Linked DNA regions of Drosophila melanogaster. The protein of the gene in region 1 interacts with the protein of each later gene in a pairwise test. Each region holds a gene or a part of one and is shown on either strand. Other genes may lie near its edges.

Region 1 (6,288 bases):
AGAACCATTTTTATGCCAACACTGCGTATGAGTAATATCGTTGTACGCATTACACATTGTACATTTATGAAATTTCTGCACTGCTGGAAGTGCAATGAAAAGCAAACCCACTTAAGTTATATGCAATTTTCTCCAATTGTGTCGTAATTTTTCAAACCGAAACGAGGGCCATTCATTATGCAGGTGCATGAAATTGTGCAATACATTTGGTCTTTTTATTCGCCGAACAAAGGAATAAATACTTTCACTCGATGTGTGTACGATCAAAGCGGAAATAATGCGAAAGCCAGATTAAGCTGAAATCGCTATATATAATAGATGGTTAGACAGATAGCCAGACTGCATTAGAAATCAATTTATTGCGACTTTGCCAACACAAGACATGCGAAAAAAAGGGGGGGGGGGAAAAAACATGGCGTACCGAACAAGACGAAAATACAACGCAGGCAGAACAAATTCCGTGATATTCGACTGGCAGGATACCTATTAATTTTTATGGCATAGCCCTAAGTCTTAAAAGGAACAAATATTCGGTAATACCAGTTATATAGTTTTGGAAACTTTTATATCACTTACAACTAAATTTGTTTATTTATTATTTTTTTATTTATTTTATTTATCGGTGAAAATATTGCACATGTTTTGAGTTCTTATTTTTGCAAATCATCGATAGATAAATAAATTATTATTTATTATTATTTATCCTGAACTGCATACTTCAACAAGATATAGCATAACCTTTAGATATTATCAGTTTATTATTTTATTTATATTTATATTTATTTCCGTTCATATATCTTAAGTAAAAGCCTGAAAGGCAATCAGAATGCACTTAGTTTAGCATTTGGAAAGTGCTTAGTACAGAAGCATTTTAAAACATATAAAAGGATTTTTTTTTGTAAATGTTCCAAGTGGTTTCGTTTTAAGAGGTATTAAAACTTAATAACCCATTAACTGGATATGAAAGCGAATATGTTTTTTTAAGTGAAAGAGTAAGCCCATGGATATGCACTTTTGCAACTGGCGGGACAGGAATGCAGTGCAAAAATATATATATATATATATACTCACTATAAATCGCAAAGATTAAGTACTGAGGCAGAGGATAAATAAAACAAAAAAAAACGGCAAATAAGAAAGAAGAGCATGTTGCAGTTCTATTTCTAGTTGTTTGGCGCTTTCCAACTGACTCTTCCTCTTGCTCGGCGATCTATAAATGTACTTTGCGGAACCGAAAAGCGTCACCATTAGCATCGCATGTACGATTCCGAGTGCTACGGGTAGTACATCTCATGTGAGATACATCCTACGTGCGGCATTTCTGGCATTTGTTTTCGATTTCCTCGCGATCTATTTGCGGGGGGGGGGGGGGGGGAGGGGTGGATGGACAAATTTAGCCAAACATCTCGATAGCAGGTGCTACCAACAGGCAGATTGATGATGGCCCAAAAGGCTCCTAGCCACTTTTGCCATAATCCCATGCTGCCGAACATGTACAACGATATTTGCCATCATTGGATTTTCAATTCAAAAAAAAGATACAAAATCTTTAGCTCAATCCTTATAAAATTGGCAGTTTTCTAATAAAAATAGGGTTATTAAGGCATTATTGTTTTTAATTTTATTGATTTAAAGATGATTTCAACTAAGTTTACATTGCAGTCTTTTATTTTTGTTAGATATTTTGGTAACTTCATATTGAAACAATATCTCAATTTGTTGAAATTGCCATTTCACTGTACATCGCATAGATGAACACTTTGATGTTTGATTACACTTGCCTAATTCGTTTAATTTATGGCTTATACACATTTTAGTGACAATTAATTGGTCACACATTTTATGACAGCAATCCCACATAGCTTGTTCTCTTTTTCAGCCCATGTCTATTTCTATCGCTACTTTGAATTGAGATCGTTTTTTTTCTCGTTGTTAGTTTAATTTTTTTGCAAGTTAAAACAATAGTAGTGATGTTGCTTAAATTTTACTTTAATTGCTATTGATTTTCTATTGTTGAAGGGTTGTGCTTTTAACTATGTTTTCGAATACCCGAAATGGTGAAAGTATCTTTGTATCTTTGAATGTTACATTATCTAGTAAAAAGTCTGAAATGCCAGGTCCTATTTGCTTGTAATAAACAATTGCGATATATGTTGCTATACCTATTTTAGTTAATTGTTCCGCATACTTTATGGACTCTCTTCTTCGCTCAATTCTTCTGAAGAATCTCCCATATGAGTTCTTCGCTCTTTCGCAGTTTTCGCTTTTACTTTCGCTGTGCAAAAACGAGGAAAAGCATTTTCAAAAGACGTCAAAAATGTTTTTGATGCTTTTTCGAAATTCGAAAAACCGCTCGCCTTCGTGTGAAATTTATGGCACACTAGAAATTTCGTTTGGTTGTGTTGAAAATTGTGAGGGGGCATATTTCGAAATTGGCAGACACGTAGAGATAATTGAAAGAAGAGGAAAATGATGATCTGGGCCTGTGCCTCAACACGGATACAGATGCAGATGAACACAAGATACAGATACAAGATACAGCAGTATTGCTGCCAAGTTAGCCTCTCTCTCACACAGATGGACTTCGAATTTTCCCGTGAAAATCATCGACACGTATGTGTGTGTGTGTGTGTGCGTGTGTGCTTGTGAGTTCAGAAATCGGAATTGAAAATATTCTGCGCTGCCTTTCACATTTCAGTAGTTTCCGTTATTGCGTTCGCCTCGTCGAGTTAGCTCCTTTGAATTTTTTCCTGTGTCGCGCTGACGGTAAAAATCATAACAAAAAATAATCATTGCTCAAAAGAGCATTCGAATGTACCAAAAAAAAAAAATTTTTTAAAATTCCCGCACCTTGTGTTTGAAGTGGCTAATAAAAAACGAAATAATTATATTACGGTACAACATAGAAGCAACAACGAAAAAAATTGTCAGCAATTTATGCGTGGAAAATAGCTGAGGAAAATCGCAGACAACGACTCGTGAGCGCTTACGTCATGCGAAAAAATTTATCTCATACATCGGATTATATATCTATATCTATATGGCACATGTGGGCTAAAGACGAAAGCCAATAATAAACATATTATGTATCGAGCGAAAAAAGAAGTCAATTGAAATAATTGAAAAGCCATCGATTCCAGCTGACCTTCAGCCAATGACATTTCAATTTTCAAATCCATATCTAATGGCCATTATTCGGTATTTAAAAATCTAGCACTTTAGCATAAAACTTCACTGGAAACGCATTGTTTATTGAGTCGCATAAACAAATCGGATAGCTTTCATTTTTCAAATGAATAAAAATGGCTATCAATCTCTTTAATATACATTTAGATTTTCTACCAAAATTTAGATGATTCAAACTTAGTAGTATGTTACAAAGAATTCCTTAAATAGTAATCGAAAATTTATTTTTACAAAGTTAAGATAAATTACCAAACATTTTCAATTTTAAAAAATATCTTTAGAAACAGGTTTTATAATATTTTAGCATATTACCCGTATTTAAATGCCTAAAAAAGTACACGGAAATCTGTAAGAAAGTTGGCTGATTTCGTTTTGTCTTCGATCAGGCGGCATTAAACCTTTGGGCCAATTAGGCAATAATTAATGTGACTTCGGTATTGCCAAATGCTGGCACATTATGACAGCCGGTTTGAAATCTTTAAAAATTGTATAATTAAACTGCGGCAGCGTCGAAGGGATAGATACATATGCAAATACATGAACGACAGCCCCAAAAATACATATTTCAAGCAAGCGTTAACCTGTGAAGAATAAACTGAATAAACTGAAGTGCCAACGAATTTATGGTCGAATCTCTGTCCGTTCGCAATCTAAATTTATCATCTTGCCCAATTGAATGTGGGATTAGTCTTGTTAAAGGCCGCAATGGCCATTAAATTGAGTTATTGACATCGAATTGGCTTAGCCGGAAATCGAATTGGAAATGAACAGATCGGCAATCGAATCGGTTTATTTAGTTAATGATACACAAATGGCCGAATGAGGAAGTACAGTGTGCTTCCAAGTAGTTTACTTAAGTCAAATCATATATTTTGTAATCAATTTTGACTTTTACATTACACTAAAATATTTCAATAATTTAATAATGTTATAAAATTTGTTTGCAAATTATTTTTATTAACTTGTAGTGAAGTAGTTCGCCATTAAAGTCAAAACTAGCGATGACTGTGCCATTTAGATAAAGATATTTATGTGTACATCCGAATACAGCGTAATTACGATTAAAATATGAGAGCCTAAACGAACCGAAGGAAACAATTAAGCTAAAAGCAGCGGAAAAGCGCCGGAAAATAAGCAAACCAAAAATTCAAACCGAAGGTTTTCTTCGTGTATTGTGATTTTTTGTTTTTTTTTTTTTTTGTTTATTTTGTTTGTTTGTTTGAGTGAGTGACTGCTGCAAAATGCCTCTGTATTCGGATTCAACCAACTACTACTATAGTGGCGGCAGCAGTCAGCTGTATTCGCCGTACTATAGTTCCGGCTTGGGTCTCAACTTGGGCATGGGATCCTCACCAGGATCGAGCTATACATCTAGCTACAATCGCTCATATCCGGCCAGCTATATGGTACCCCTGAGTCCCTCCTCGCCGAGATCACCGAGCAGTTATTCCAGTGGCAGCTCCGGCGGCAGTAGCTCCCTCCATGGCCTGGGCTCCAGATATCAACCCAAACTGACCACGATTACGGAAACGGGTCGGCACAGTGGTCATAGCAGCCTAATGCCTCTGACCAGGATTAACTCACCGAAATACAGCAGCTCGGTGACCACACCGAGTTATGGTTCATCGGGCGCCAGTAGTCGGTACATACCAGCCAGACCCATTGCCATCAATACGGCGGATATCGATGTGAGCTCCTCGCGATATCGCAGGGCAGTGCCATCCAAGTCGCAGGAAAAGGAGCAGCCCAAGGAGGAGGTGAAGCAAAAGGAACAGAAGGAGCAGGCGGAGGAGGAGGTTAAGCCTTCTCCCAAGGAAACACCATGCGAAAGTTCAGATGCAAGTGCCGAAACCAGACCCAATCGTAGGTCAACCATTAGAAGAAATCGTCCGGTGGTTAGATTATCCACCATACGAAGACGCAGCAAGGATCGCAGTGCCGAGAGTCCCAAGAAGGAGCAAGTGCAGGAGCATCAATTCAGGGATCTGCCACCTGCCACCGAGCCCAGTTTGAGTTGGCGTCAAAAGTTGGCCGAAGAATTGGCAGCCTTTCCAGTAACCAGCAATAAAAAGTCACCCGGCGAATTGCTTCGCGAGAGATTCTATATAAAAGATGAGAAGGAGGAACTAACCAATTTCAATAGAGCCCAAATCCAAGAGCTTGTTCAACCACAAAGTGCTCATAAAACTTTGACTCCGGAAGTGGAGATAAGTGCCAAAAAGGAAGTGGATGACGAAAAGGAGGATGAGTCCGATAAACAGGAACAGGAATTGGAGGAAATGCAGGAGACCATTCGTCGTTTGAGTTTGGTCCAATGTCCAACATTTCATGACATTTGCGAGGATATTTCATCCGATAAAATTGATGATGATCTGAATGCCGGAGAACTCAGACGTAGGGCCTCTATTATTCAGGAGCAAGAACAGGAAATCTTAAATAAGTTGCAGAAGTCAAACTCCGGCAGCTTTCAGTTGATCCACCTGGAACGTAGATCCAGTCACGATAGTACCACCACTAACGATGAAGATCTGAAGGAGAGATCGAAAAGGCGGTCCAAGAAGAGTAAAAAGATGCGCCATAAGATCACCGCCATTGTTGAGGTGGAAAATGCTCCCCAAGCTCAGCCAGTAGAGCATATGCCTAGTGTTTTGGAGTTGAATGAGGAGTCCCTATTAATACAACCATTGACTTCCGGTTCCGGTTCGAGTTCCACTCCAACTCCCAGTCCGAAACCGAAATTCACCGTTAATGTAGAGACTGTGGAGGAGCATCATCAGATACACAAGATATTCAAGCTGCCCAAGAAAAAGACAGTGCCCAAGGATCAGGATGATTCGTCTTTGCCCGAAGGATTCATGAAAGCTGCGCCCAAAACAACCAAGACATCGCCTTTGAAGAAAGTAAATAAGCAGCAACATGTTAATGAGGCACAGATTTTCACCTTTGATGAGGCAGCCATACAACAGCAGCAACAAGTGCAGCAGCAGCAGCAGCAACCGGAACTACCTAAAACCGAGGCCAAAGTCGAGGGCGTGGCTACGCCCAAGCCCATTCGTAAGGCTATACAGAAATCGGAGAGCGGCGAGGACTTTTGGTCACAGA
Region 2 (3,538 bases), on another chromosome or scaffold:
AATAGCTGCAGTCAGGATATCGCGGCACCGATCGCGCAGCTAAGAATTTATTGGCCTGGTTCTTATGCCGTTGGCGTATTAATAACAGATCGTAAGTATACTCTTTCACTCGAGAATTCCACAATTAAATGAGTATAAATTTAACAAGATTGAGTTTCTTTTCTTAGAATTGATCATCGCTGCTGCCACAGACCTGCCCACAGTTGCCGCCTATTTGTAAGTTGTTCGAAGGATTATCCCTTGTGCATTAACTGCTATTTTTCACATTAGTTACTAGTTTATTTTGATACCATTTTAAATTAATTATTCAGATACGTGTTCGTAGTGCTCGAAGGAATAAGCGCAATCAACCAAATTGAATCGGTTTCAAAGCACCCAAATTTTACTACGAATGATTACCGAAATGACATAGCAGTACTCAAACTTGTTCGATCAATAAGCAGCACAGGTAGAACATACCTACTATCATAGCAATTGCCTCGATTTACAGTTATATTCTTTTACAGCAATGAAACCCATCTGCATTTTGACAACGCAAATATACCAGCAAAACGCCGAAAAGGCTCGAGAATTGAAAATAATTGATACAGATTTAGCTGAACAATTCGACGTCAGGCTAATGGAAGGGAGCCAATGCGCGAAACATCTCGGATTTCAAATCAACGAAAATCAAGTGTGCATGGTAGATCCATCCGACACAAGTAATCCCCGCCAGAAACGTAGCTACATAGTGGTTGGAGGGATGAATGCCAATGGCCAGATACGCTACATTTTGGTGGGCATTTTCAGTTTTTCATCGAAAAACATACTCGTTTTTACGAATGTTATGAGGCACACGGATTGGATTCTTTCCTTGCTATATTCGTTAAATACGTCATCTTAAAATATTTAAATGCCTTAAAAATGTAAAAGCACGTGTAAATACCAATTACTGACATACGAGTGATTGGTACATGTTTTAATAATAAAGTAACATACGCTAACGAATAAGAAATTGTCTTTGAGAAATCTAAAATATTTAATCATTTTTCGAAGTAATCATGCGCGTTCTGTACTACGAGTAGTGTTATCTTGGAGTCTGGCACCAGGAGCACCTCGTTGGTTCTTGTGCGTATTCTCAGCATTAGTAGTTCGTCCGTGGGATCTATTTTACTCATACCGCGTTCCAGTCTTCCTCGAATAGCCTGAAAAGGTCCCGAAAATTGGACAGCATCCTCTCGGTCCATCGTACTCATCACCGGATGTCCCGACTCGTTGAGGATCACTACATCTCGAACATGTTTTTTCGATTTGACCAGGTCGAATGCTTTTTCCACATATCGTAGAGTTCGAGGTGGCTATTTAATGATGTAACCTATAAATAAATATAATTACATTCAATATGGAAATATTTTACCTTTTGTGGAAGATCCGGAAACATATTTCTCGTCTGCTTTGAAACACCTTGAACTTCGTAGTAACGGTTTCGTGAATTTTTAACCTAATTTTTTTTGTTTTCTTGGTTTCCAAGGTGCGTGTTGCTATATGGGTCAATATGCCAGATTAAACAATTCTGTGTAGTTGTTATTAATGTATTGTTAGTAAATAATAAACTTATTAAATTATTCAATCACAAATATTTTGATAATTACCGTTGCAAATTTTTTTCTCATTGAAAACTTCATATCGATATTTTCTGTTAACTTATGTGGAAATCTGTTAAATTAACAATGAACAATGTGCCATCACTGACAGTGCATCTCTAATATTGAACAAACAAAGTTTACTATTTCATTGAACTGCAGGTAGCGGTAGTGTCTGCCGTGTTTCCAACAAAATTATAAGAAAAAATGGTAAGTAAGAGTTGTGCATACACAAAAACATTAAGAAAATAACGTTACCTTCATGGCTTACAGTCGCAGGAGGTTGAGGAAACACTCAAGAGAATCCAGAGCCACAAAGGTGTTGTGGGTACAATTGTGGTCAACAATGAAGGTGGGTGGTTCAACTGCACCCCAGTGTGTGCTAAGATATCTAACTAATTCTCAACGCCTCCCAAATAGGTATTCCGGTCAAATCCACGCTGGACAACACTACCACCGTTCAGTACGCTGGCCTAATGAGTCAGCTGGCGGACAAGGCACGAAGTGTGGTGAGGGACTTGGATCCTTCCAACGACATGACATTCCTGCGGGTGCGATCCAAGAAGCACGAGATCATGGTGGCACCCGACAAGGACTTCATCCTGATTGTCATCCAAAACCCAACCGACTAAATGGCATGGTGCATCGCGACTATTGCTGAATTATCTGCACATTTATATCTGTATTCTAATCATCAGCGTATAAATGGAAAGTTAAATTATAATGTAATGAAATTGTACTCCATACAATAAATATATTTATGCATAAAATGACATCACGTAAACATTTTGGGCTCTGTAAACTTCAGGTGTTTTCAGCTGTTAGTCCGCTATAACTATTGATAGGGGCATTCATTCTTTATTTTCAAAAACTGAAATATGCGTTCTCTAATTGAAACAAATGACTCCAAAAGATAAATTTATTTTAACGCTAATTCTAACACGAACAATTAATTATTATAATATTATTATAATTATTGAAGTTGTTTGATGTTTGGGTAGTTGGTTTAAGCATCCGCTTCACCGACGTATTTATCGAATACTTTCGAAGCGAGAGATATGTATTCTCTTGTTACCTTTGAAATTGTTTCCGTTGCTATTAGGTGAACATTTATGTTATGTTGGCAATTAAAGACTACCACGGCTTGTACATAATTGGAAAGATTACAATAATTACAACGGTGTGGTAATTATATCCTTTAAAAACCATATGCAGGGACAGAAGGTATCGAATATGTATAAAATAACTTCGATAGTAGCAAAGTCCCAGACTATCGATGTTTGGCCATCGTCGTTGCACGCCACGGTCACACTGATGCAAAGTCGAGGAAGACGGATTCGTGTGTCGGTGAAAACCCGTGAGTTTTGCGTACTTGCATTTAAAGAAAACCCCTCAACGGAATAGTCAATAAATTGATTGGAGAGCCCAATCAGCCACCGTTTCGACCCAGTGTACGCGTGTGCAGCGAGTTAAGAGATCCACCGATCGATCAAATCGTATTGAAAAAAGGTAATTCGAAAGATGGGCGTGCAGCGAAAAGCGAACGAGTAAAGAAAATGGCGTAATCACGCACTTCGAAACCCAAAAGGCAGCCAGCAAACGCAACGCAAACGGAATCCAAATCCACGAACCCTCAATCGGCCAGTCAGCATTACTTTGGGTGAAAAAACGAGCTATATGAACGTGAAAAAAGTGAATAAAAAACGTAAAAAAAATGTGCTGCAGCCATATTTGTTCCGTGAAAATGAAAACGATACACACACACACACGGGCAAAGTCGAGTGTATATAGTCGTCGGTGCATATATATCTGTCTATACATATGTGCTAAGAATTAACTAAATAAAATGAAGCACTTCGTATCGGATCGTCATCGCACCGTTTCGTTGTTCGCAATTTCATTTCATTTCCAACGCG

The links.
Region 2: the proteins of Pkcdelta (region 1) and robl interact in a two-hybrid assay, tested with the Drosophila melanogaster proteins (one large-scale study listed by BioGRID).

What each region holds. Positions count from the first base shown.
Region 1 is NC_004354.4:12,438,771-12,445,058, forward strand, and holds the start of Pkcdelta (protein kinase C delta), read left to right. Parts: upstream 1-2,713; 5' UTR 2,714-2,766; intron 2,767-4,236; 5' UTR 4,237-4,427; coding exon 4,428-6,288.
Region 2 is NT_033778.4:17,454,742-17,458,279, forward strand, and holds robl (roadblock), read left to right. Parts: upstream 1-1,730; 5' UTR 1,731-1,829; coding exon 1,830-1,832; intron 1,833-1,895; coding exon 1,896-1,974; intron 1,975-2,042; coding exon 2,043-2,254; 3' UTR 2,255-2,388; downstream 2,389-3,538. Other genes in the region: CG10764 (uncharacterized protein), read left to right, coding at 1-91, 168-216, 312-448, 507-883; robls54B (roadblock similar 54B), read right to left, coding at 1,023-1,337, 1,397-1,420.